Schizosaccharomyces pombe: one gene and its partner. The gene in region 1 interacts genetically with each later gene. Each region holds a gene or a part of one and is shown in the gene's direction. Other genes may lie near its edges.

Region 1 (4,640 bases):
TAATGATTCGCAAAATTTTTGACTGCAAAATAAAAACCATTATGAGAGAGATTTTAGAAGGAAGAAGAAAGCAGGAAAGTAATTATTATTGACAACGAGTGTCACTTGTGGGTATCTACCTCTACATGTCGTTTTTAAATATTATAGGATATACACTCAAACATGCGCCTTGCTTCTTTACAACCAAGCAATTACTCGTACTTCATAAACTGCTAGTAGACGCAAGCATATTTAAACATTCAGCAGGAACCTGTCTTTTCAGGAAAGCGAAAACGAGTTTAAAATGTTTGTATATAGAATGTGTGATGATTACCAGCTTACCCTCTTTTTTGAGATACGAAATCACGCTTCAGAACTCTGGTTAAATTACTCGCGTCTTTGCAGCTATATAAAATTTGGTTTGCCAATGTCTCTAGCAGTTTAATATTCCTTCTATTTTAAAGGATTTGTTGTTTGGAGGAAATGCAAGTAAATTCACGAATTATATTAATATGATACAAAGGACGCAAAGCTTCTTAATATAGCGATACAGAAAGCAGTTATTAAATGCAAAAAGTTGATTTAATTAACTCAATCTTCGGGAACAAAATTTGGATTTGATTCAAAAAAGCCTCACCTCTTAAGGAAATAATGCTGTTGCAAGATTTCACTAGACTCACGACTGATTAAACAACGCCTACACAACAGATAAAGTTATAAACTGACGCAGCACTGAATGTTCAATAACAATAAAAAAACCACAACATAAACACAAGTTCTAATTTGTTCATGTTTTAAAGGCAACTTTTAGGAATAACGCATGCCGATTTCATTAAAGATAAACAGCCTAAAGTTACCTAAAAACCGAAGAGGCAGGCTTTAAGATACGCGTAAAGAATATTAGTTTTGTTCCAAAAACCCAATTAAAATTTTTATGAAAGTAAACAACACGAGAATAGGTATAGATGTGAATTAAAGAAAATGAAACAAAACAAAGGACAAGGAAGTATGTCTCAAAGACTATTGCTTAAAAATAATAACTGTTTGAATAAGTTCGATAGCCAAGGCGGTTTAATTCTTCGCAATTAGGTAAACGCAATTCTTTAGCCTTCTTCAGTGCCTCTTTATCAGGAAAGAACCATCCTTGAGCTCTTCGAATTTCGTCTTCTTTAATTTGTTGCTCGCGCAAACAAGCATTATGGACGTTTTGAGTATACGTATGCTCGACTTTTTCGTTGAGTCTTCTTATATCTCTTGAACTTAGCTTATCCAAATCCTTTTGGCTCATATAGTATGGAATGTTATGCTTGGCAGTAGTACGAGGAACAGTGTATTTATAGTTTTGTTGAAATGAATAGCGCGTATTAACCGACGTACTATCTGACCAACTAAAGTTGGACAAAAAGGCAAAAAGGATTACCACTATCAAAGGTAGCAACTGATAAAATATGCTCTTTGGGGGCATGTCCTGGGCCTGCTGACGACGTGCAAAATTCCTTGGACGGCCGCCAAACTGATGAACTCGAATGCCAGGTCCACCACCGAAGAAAAATGTTCCTGGACCTGAAAAGAACTGGTCACCAAAGAAAGAATTGAACAAATCTTCGGGAGACATATTCGCTTGAGGATAAGCAGAAAATCCAGGATGGCCTCCTGCGTTACTACTAAAAGAGCTGCTCGCAGCAGAGGCGCGAGATTCAGGATCCATTCCTGTACGGTCGTAGTGTGCTCGTAGATTAGGGTCTGATAAAACCTGAAAGGCTTTTGAAACCACTATAAAAAAGTTAGGATACAAAAAAAAACCTTAAAAATTATTAGCTAAAAAATGAAGACGTACTTTTAAATGCTTCGTCAGCACTAGGTGCGTGATTTTTGTCTGGATGGAGCTGTAATGCTAATTTTTTATAAGACTTTTTGATTTCTGTATCAGTGCAGGTTTTCTTTAAATCCAATATTTCATAGTACTGGTGATTTTTGTACTTTATGATTTTCTGGACCAACAAATGTTGTTCGCTTGTCCACTTCTGTTTCTTTTCACCAGCAGAGCTATTCCCATTTTCCCGCACCGACTGTTTTTCAGAAAAAAAGTTACTCTTGTTTTCTTGCTTAGGAGTTGCCTGAGGATTTGGAGAACCTGTAAGCTTTTGCTTTTCTATTTGTTTCACAAAATCTTCGCCCTCAGTGGTAGCATGAATTCGCAAAGATTTATTAGCAAATTTTAAAGCCTTATCATATTCTCCGGCATTTAAATACTTTCTTGCAAGTCCAATGCATCTACACGTAACATGTGTTAGTAATAAAATCTCACGCAATCCTCATTATTCGTACCTAAGGGCTTCTTCTCTACTAGATTCCATTTTGGTGATATGAAAGAAGGAAATTAAGTCCAAGTTTGATGAGAGAACCAAAGTTTCAAGTGCCTTCAATCTCTGCCAACTTTGTACTTGGATGGATCGATGCTACCAGAAACCCTTTAAACCAAGTAACATATCGAAGGTCAAGTGGCTTAAGTAACATGCACTTTTGAATCAATCCAAACACCAAAAACAGGAATAAAAGGGAAAACTAATTGATATATTTAAAATAATTCAAAAAGAGCATTTTTTGGTTTTGGTTGTTTGCCAAGCGAAATAATTAGAGTAATTGGAAAAGTTAAGTGTTTTTCATGTTTTTATGTTTCTTTCGGTTTCAAAGTGGTAAATCAGAAACTTAATAATAGAATGAGCAACAAAAGTGCATGGCAACCTCAGTTTGATGAAATTCACTCATCCGTTCAAGAAGCAGAAGGGTTTTTACAGTCTAGCAACGATGTACAGAAAGCTATAGACGAGGTGCATTATCCTGACAGCCTCAATGACTTGTCGGAAATATCAAAAAATTTGTATATTAGTAGTTGGAAAACGGCGTCAGAGCTAGTGTCTACTTCAGACAAAGGGATCGATTATACATTAAGCGCTATGAGTATTAATCCCAATTTGTCGGTTCCTGAACAACAACACCTTTGGTTGCAAATTGAAGACTCTAGTTCTCAAAATATTCTGCAATACTTCGAAAAGTCAAATAAATTCATCGCTTTTGCACTATCTAAAAATGCCAAAGTTTTGGTTCACTGCTTTGCGGGCATATCAAGGTCCGTAACCTTAGTGGCTGCATACTTGATGAAGGAAAACAATTGGAATACTGAGGAAGCACTCTCCCATATTAATGAAAGGCGCTCTGGAATATCTCCTAATGCTAATTTTCTTCGTCAACTTCGCGTATACTTTGAGTGTAATTACCAACTTGATCGAAGTTTGCGCCCATACCGCCAATGGCTGTTCAGAAGATATGGTGATTTCGCGGTGTTGAATACTAGGGTACCATCTGAAGTCGCTTACGCTGAGACTGTCCGTGCCCGTGCAGGACAATTAGAGCTTCGCTGTAAAAAATGTCGGTTTGTCCTTGCCAGCTCTGATTATCTGGTATCGCATGAACCGAAAGATGAAAATAATTATTCTCATACAAGATGTACTCATTACTTTTTGGAACCTATTCGCTGGATGCAGCCAGAATTGGAGTTGGGAAATTTGGAAGGTCGATTTGATTGTCCAAAATGCAATTCTAAAATTGGTTCTTATAAATGGCAAGGTTTACAATGCAGTTGTCTTCAATGGGTTTGTCCAGCTTTAAGTATTTTACAGTCGCGTGTAGACGCTGTTAGGAAACTCGGTTGATTTTTTTTTCTGCGTGTGTGAATCATCCACTTGCTTCAAAGTTAATGTATATTAGGAAGATCGCTCTAGGTTTTCAAATCATCTATGTTTATTACAAAAAAATGGTTTATCTTAAAACATTGGTTGCTTTTCCAGAGTTGTCGATGAGATCTTGTAATTAAAGTACTAACCAGTTCTGAATACTTATTTTTTAATAAAAACTCTATACTATCATTGGCCTGAGAAAAGTATTTCCATCTGTTCAATGGCAAAGTCTAAGGAATTCTTCTAATCTAATTATCACTTTATGGAGGTATTGCTTACTTTTGAAGATGACTAATATTGCCATAAAATTTCCTAATATTATCATAACGAATTCATGGTAAAGACGTCTTACCCTTACCTTCCGTTGGTTTATAACAGTATTCAACTTCTTCATTACCTATATACACGAAGTATTAAAACTAGAATGGCACCTATTTCAAAGGTCTTTGATTACCTGGTAATTGGTGGTGGAAGTGGTAAGTACAATTCGATACTTTCGGGATTTGATGGGTTAACATTTATGAATATTAGGCGGTTTGGCTTCGGCTCGTCGTGCTGCCAAACATGGAGCCAAGGTTGCTTTAATTGAGGCATCTGGGCGCCTTGGAGGCACATGTGTAAATTATGGATGTGTACCCAAAAAGATTATGTGGAATATTGCTGATCTCGTCGCAAAGATGAAAACAGCAAAGCAAAATGGATTCCCTAACAGTCAGTTAGGTAGTTTTGACTGGGGAATGATTAAACGTAAACGTGATGCATACATTGGACGTCTCAATGGAATTTATGAAAGAAATGTTAATAAGGATGGTGTGGCTTATATTTCTGGTCACGCTAGCTTTGTATCACCTACTGAGGTTGCTGTCGATATGAATGATGGTTCGGGAACTCAGGTTTTCAGCGCAAAATATATCCTTATAGCTG
Region 2 (3,997 bases), on another chromosome or scaffold:
TACTAAGGACACTCGTGCTGAAGGTGGTATAAAAGCTATTGAGTCTTATCTCGAGAAGTTTGCCAAACGCCATAAGGAGCACATTGCTGTTTATGGTGACGACAACGACTTGCGTCTTACCGGTCGTCATGAAACTGGTTCAATCGATAAGTTCACTTATGGTGTTGCCGATCGTGGTGCATCCGTTCGTATCCCCCGTTCTGTCGCCATGAATGGTTGCGGCTACTTTGAGGATCGTCGTCCTGCTTCTTCCATCGATCCTTACCTCGTCACTGGTATCATCACTGAGACCATGTTTGAGCATTAGACAATTTTCCCTCATAATTTAACGTGCAGGTCACGTCGACCACCCAGTTATTAACCATTTTGAAATATGTGTTTAAGTTTTTATAATATCACGTTTTTGTTTGTAGGACTTAATGAGTTTGTTGTGTAGTAATTTTGTTTATCAGCTTCACTTTTTTGTGATGTTTATCTTTTTTTAGAATATTTCATATGATGCATTCGTTGCAGTCATTTTTTTAAAGTATCACCATTTATCAACTGAGCTTGTTGCTCACCTTCTTATAATGATCAAGAGTGTTTTCATTGCGTATGTGAGGCTTTGATACAACCTTGGATTGTTCTTTTCTTGATATTCTTATACTAATATTAATGTTTCTCTTGTTTTTTTTTACCCAAGCTGTCCCTAAGTACAAGTACTTTACGAATCAGTTTGTCAACAACCCTGTTAATTTTTTTAAGTATTTTACAGTATTCACACAAGATTACGAATTTTTGAAATAAAACGATAGCTTATTCTAGACATGCAAAAATATATCTTTTTTGGTTGGTTACTTGTAAATTATCAATTGTGAATAATTAATGCATCTTTATTGTAAAGCTGATTCCATCCATGAAATCCATTCTTCAATGTTCGACATTTTTGCAACGCTGCCAGGAAGGAATTTAAGATCAGTATCTTCAATCTGATCTGCAACTGATTCCCAATCGACATCTTCAGAGACTATAGATTCGAGTTGAAGATTTTTCTCTTCCAAAATATTGTGCAGTTCAGCTTTTAACAATTGTTGAATTTTTTCCGCAGGTTGAGCAGTAAAAAGATCAAATTTATTACAGGCAATTAATAGATGAGGGACATGATGCTTGCGACATTTTAAAATTGTGTCAAACAACATCAATCCAACCTCGTGCACATCCCTGTCAATTGTAGCACTGTTGAGAACGAAAACTACAGCTTTTACATTATAATTTCCAGAGAATTTAGTAGTAATCCAACGTTTGGCCCTGGGATGCCCTGGAAGATCTACTAACCAAGCACCATATTTCCACACAGCTTCATTAGGTTCAATGCTAGGAACTGTAGTTTTCTTTTCTTTATAAATTAGCTATATAACAGTTAATAAGTATTCAAAGATTGTATATTATTGTTATACCTCACAAAACAAAGACGTTTTTCCAGAATCGCTAGGTCCAATTAAAAACACTGCTGGTAACTTCTTTTGAATTGTCTTTCTAGTAAAAAAAATTCCTAGGGTAGATATAATAGCTCCTATAATTATTGTAGCTACAATAATTTTAAAAGCTTGAGAAGTTCCATCCATATGCTGTTGTTGGTACCAGTTGGGTGTGTAGAAGATATATGTCAAATGTTACAAAGACCTCATTTTCATACGATCGTTGATTAAGATATATTTTTCAGAAGAGAGAAATAAATGTGAAAAAAAAAAAAAAAAAAAAAAGCATCCAAACTAGTTCTCGAAGTTTTGTTTAAAAAAGACAATTCTCGTACAGATTGCAGCAGTAGAGATTGACTGTACCCTCTTTTGAATTTAATTAAAACAATACAAAATACATTTTTCCTGAATGTATTACATGAGATAATTGCTTGATTAGACCAATCTTTGTTAATCGTCAAAGTATACATTTATATCATCGGTTCTTTTGAGTGGAATTAATTGTTGTGGGGCATCTTTAAGTTGTGAATTTGTGTAATTAGACTTATTGAATATTTTTGCTTCATTGTTTGCTCAACATTATTTATTATAGAAAAGTTCTTTTTGTTAAGTGATGACAATGATATAAATAATGAACTTCACGATTTTTTATTTTAAAATAATAAAACTATAGAATATTTTACATTTTGAAAGATAAGATTGCGTTGTTGTAATACTACTTCAATCCAAGTTATACTGAAGTTGCTGTCTTTCAGTCGAAGAGCTACTTTTATATCTACCTTTTTTACATTGCAGACTTGCCATCCCCCAACCGTAGATTTTGCTGGTTATATTAATTCCTTTTTTAAAGAGTCGTCTAACTCTCGTTATTAAATTGTGATACGAAGATGCCTCTTCCAGTACTTCGAGTTAAGCGTAAAGCTTCAGAAGATCCTGTTAACGCCCTATGTACGACCAAGCTTCTAAGTAAACTTTCTTTATCTAACTCCTTAATAATTTAGATTTGGAACTTGGAAACAATCCAAATTCTGTTTCAAGTACGAAAAGAAGGAAATTCGCCGGACGATATTGTATGCTACTTCTTGAGCTTTTGTGTTGGAATATTACACAAGGACTAATCATTTGAAAAACACAATTACCTTTTATTGACAGTTTCTAGATTTTAAACTATCACAAACGCTGAAGCAAGATGATCGGTATATTCAGATAAATGATGAATCTTCGGAACCCACTCATGAAGACGTTCGAAATATCCACAGTCATACAAAAATATCATCTCTAAAAAAGAACAATTACGGAATCCCTGTCGTCCAAACTTCTGAAGACGTTGTGAAAGCACCTACGCACATGGACTTGGGATCCCGTGAAAATACAAAAGGTATTCTTTCTTTCTCATCCCCACGCTATACAATTCAGAATTTACCTTCTACTCAAAGTAATAGAGTGTTCGACGCTATCCGTGTCGAACAAGGGTATGTCAACATCAAATAGAGTCAATTACTTAGTTCTGTTGTTATAAGAACTGGCTCTTGGCTTTTTTTACCTTAACTAACATTCATAGACATACTACGTATCATCCGCATCCTCAGCTAGATTCTATGATTCAAGAATATTTGTCAAATGGAGACCTTCCTCTTCAGCAATCTACGGAAGACTACGTATACGATATTTATGAAGCATCTAGCAAAGAACCAAACAAGCCAACGTTTGCTTATGGTGTAATTGATGCTTTGTCCATCCCAGACGCTTTTCGTTCTTCATTAGAACAGGAACTAGTCTCCGAGACAGTGGACTCTGATAAAGATGATCCATTACATGATGAAATTGATGAGGATTCAAACGCTGAAAGCTTCTATCAAAATAGCTATCCCGATGAAGACGAATGGCAAGATAGCAGTGAAAATGATGAATTTGCTTACTCCGATGATGCTGAGCAAGACTTTTATGATTAGATGTTTGCTACTTAAAAAAACGAACAAAATGGAAATCGGTTACAGTTTAATAGGTGAATGATATTATTTGGAGAAATTTATATCAGGAATTTAGTAAATTGTTCTATTGTATTTTTTAAAAACTCATACATTATATTGTGTCTGGGTAATATGTGTAAATTTTAATAGCATTACTATTTAGTTATATCATAGGATTCAATATGAGCCATGTTATTCATGAGTTTGGAGTCCACAATTTTGTGACTTGCAAAATCCTAGCACCAAGTTCTTGAATTTGTAGCCAGATTTAGCTACATCATAGACAATATGTCGACTAAAGAAGCAACTTCAGAGACTGCTGTCGATTATTCTTTGAGTAATCCTGAAACCGTCAATAAATATAAAATTGCAGGCGAAGTTTCTCAAAATGTTATTAAAAAAGTGGTAGAATTATGCCAACCTGGAGCCAAAATATACGATATTTGCGTTCGTGGTGATGAACTATTGAACGAAGCTATCAAGAAAGTATATCGTACCAAGGATGCTTATAAAGGTATTGCTTTCCCTACCGCTGTATCTCCTAATGATATGGCTGCTCATTTATCTCCT

Evidence for each region.
Region 2: mutations in SPOM_SPBC17A3.06 (region 1) and iwr1 together harm fitness less than expected from each alone (positive genetic interaction), as found in Schizosaccharomyces pombe (one large-scale study listed by BioGRID).

What each region holds. Positions count from the first base shown.
Region 1 is NC_003423.3:1,410,356-1,414,995, forward strand, and holds SPOM_SPBC17A3.06 (phosphoprotein phosphatase), read left to right. Parts: upstream 1-2,509; 5' UTR 2,510-2,699; coding exon 2,700-3,692; downstream 3,693-4,640. Other genes in the region: SPOM_SPBC17A3.05C (J domain-containing protein), read right to left, coding at 1,007-1,752, 1,817-2,253, 2,308-2,336; mitochondrial glutathione reductase Pgr1, read left to right, coding at 4,141-4,192, 4,248-4,640. UniProt on the Schizosaccharomyces pombe protein: May be directly involved in signal transduction and/or cell cycle regulation. It is necessary for maintaining growth rate or spore germination. Could show both activity toward tyrosine-protein phosphate as well as with serine-protein phosphate.
Region 2 is NC_003424.3:1,592,802-1,596,798, reverse strand, and holds iwr1 (RNA polymerase II nuclear import protein Iwr1), read left to right. Parts: upstream 1-2,259; 5' UTR 2,260-2,344; coding exon 2,345-2,405; intron 2,406-2,458; coding exon 2,459-2,527; intron 2,528-2,616; coding exon 2,617-2,929; intron 2,930-3,018; coding exon 3,019-3,409; 3' UTR 3,410-3,497; downstream 3,498-3,997. Other genes in the region: glutamate-ammonia ligase Gln1, read left to right, coding at 1-307; signal recognition particle receptor beta subunit Srp102, read right to left, coding at 873-1,388, 1,437-1,604; peptidase family curved DNA-binding protein Cdb4, read left to right, coding at 3,716-3,997. UniProt on the Schizosaccharomyces pombe protein: Directs RNA polymerase II nuclear import.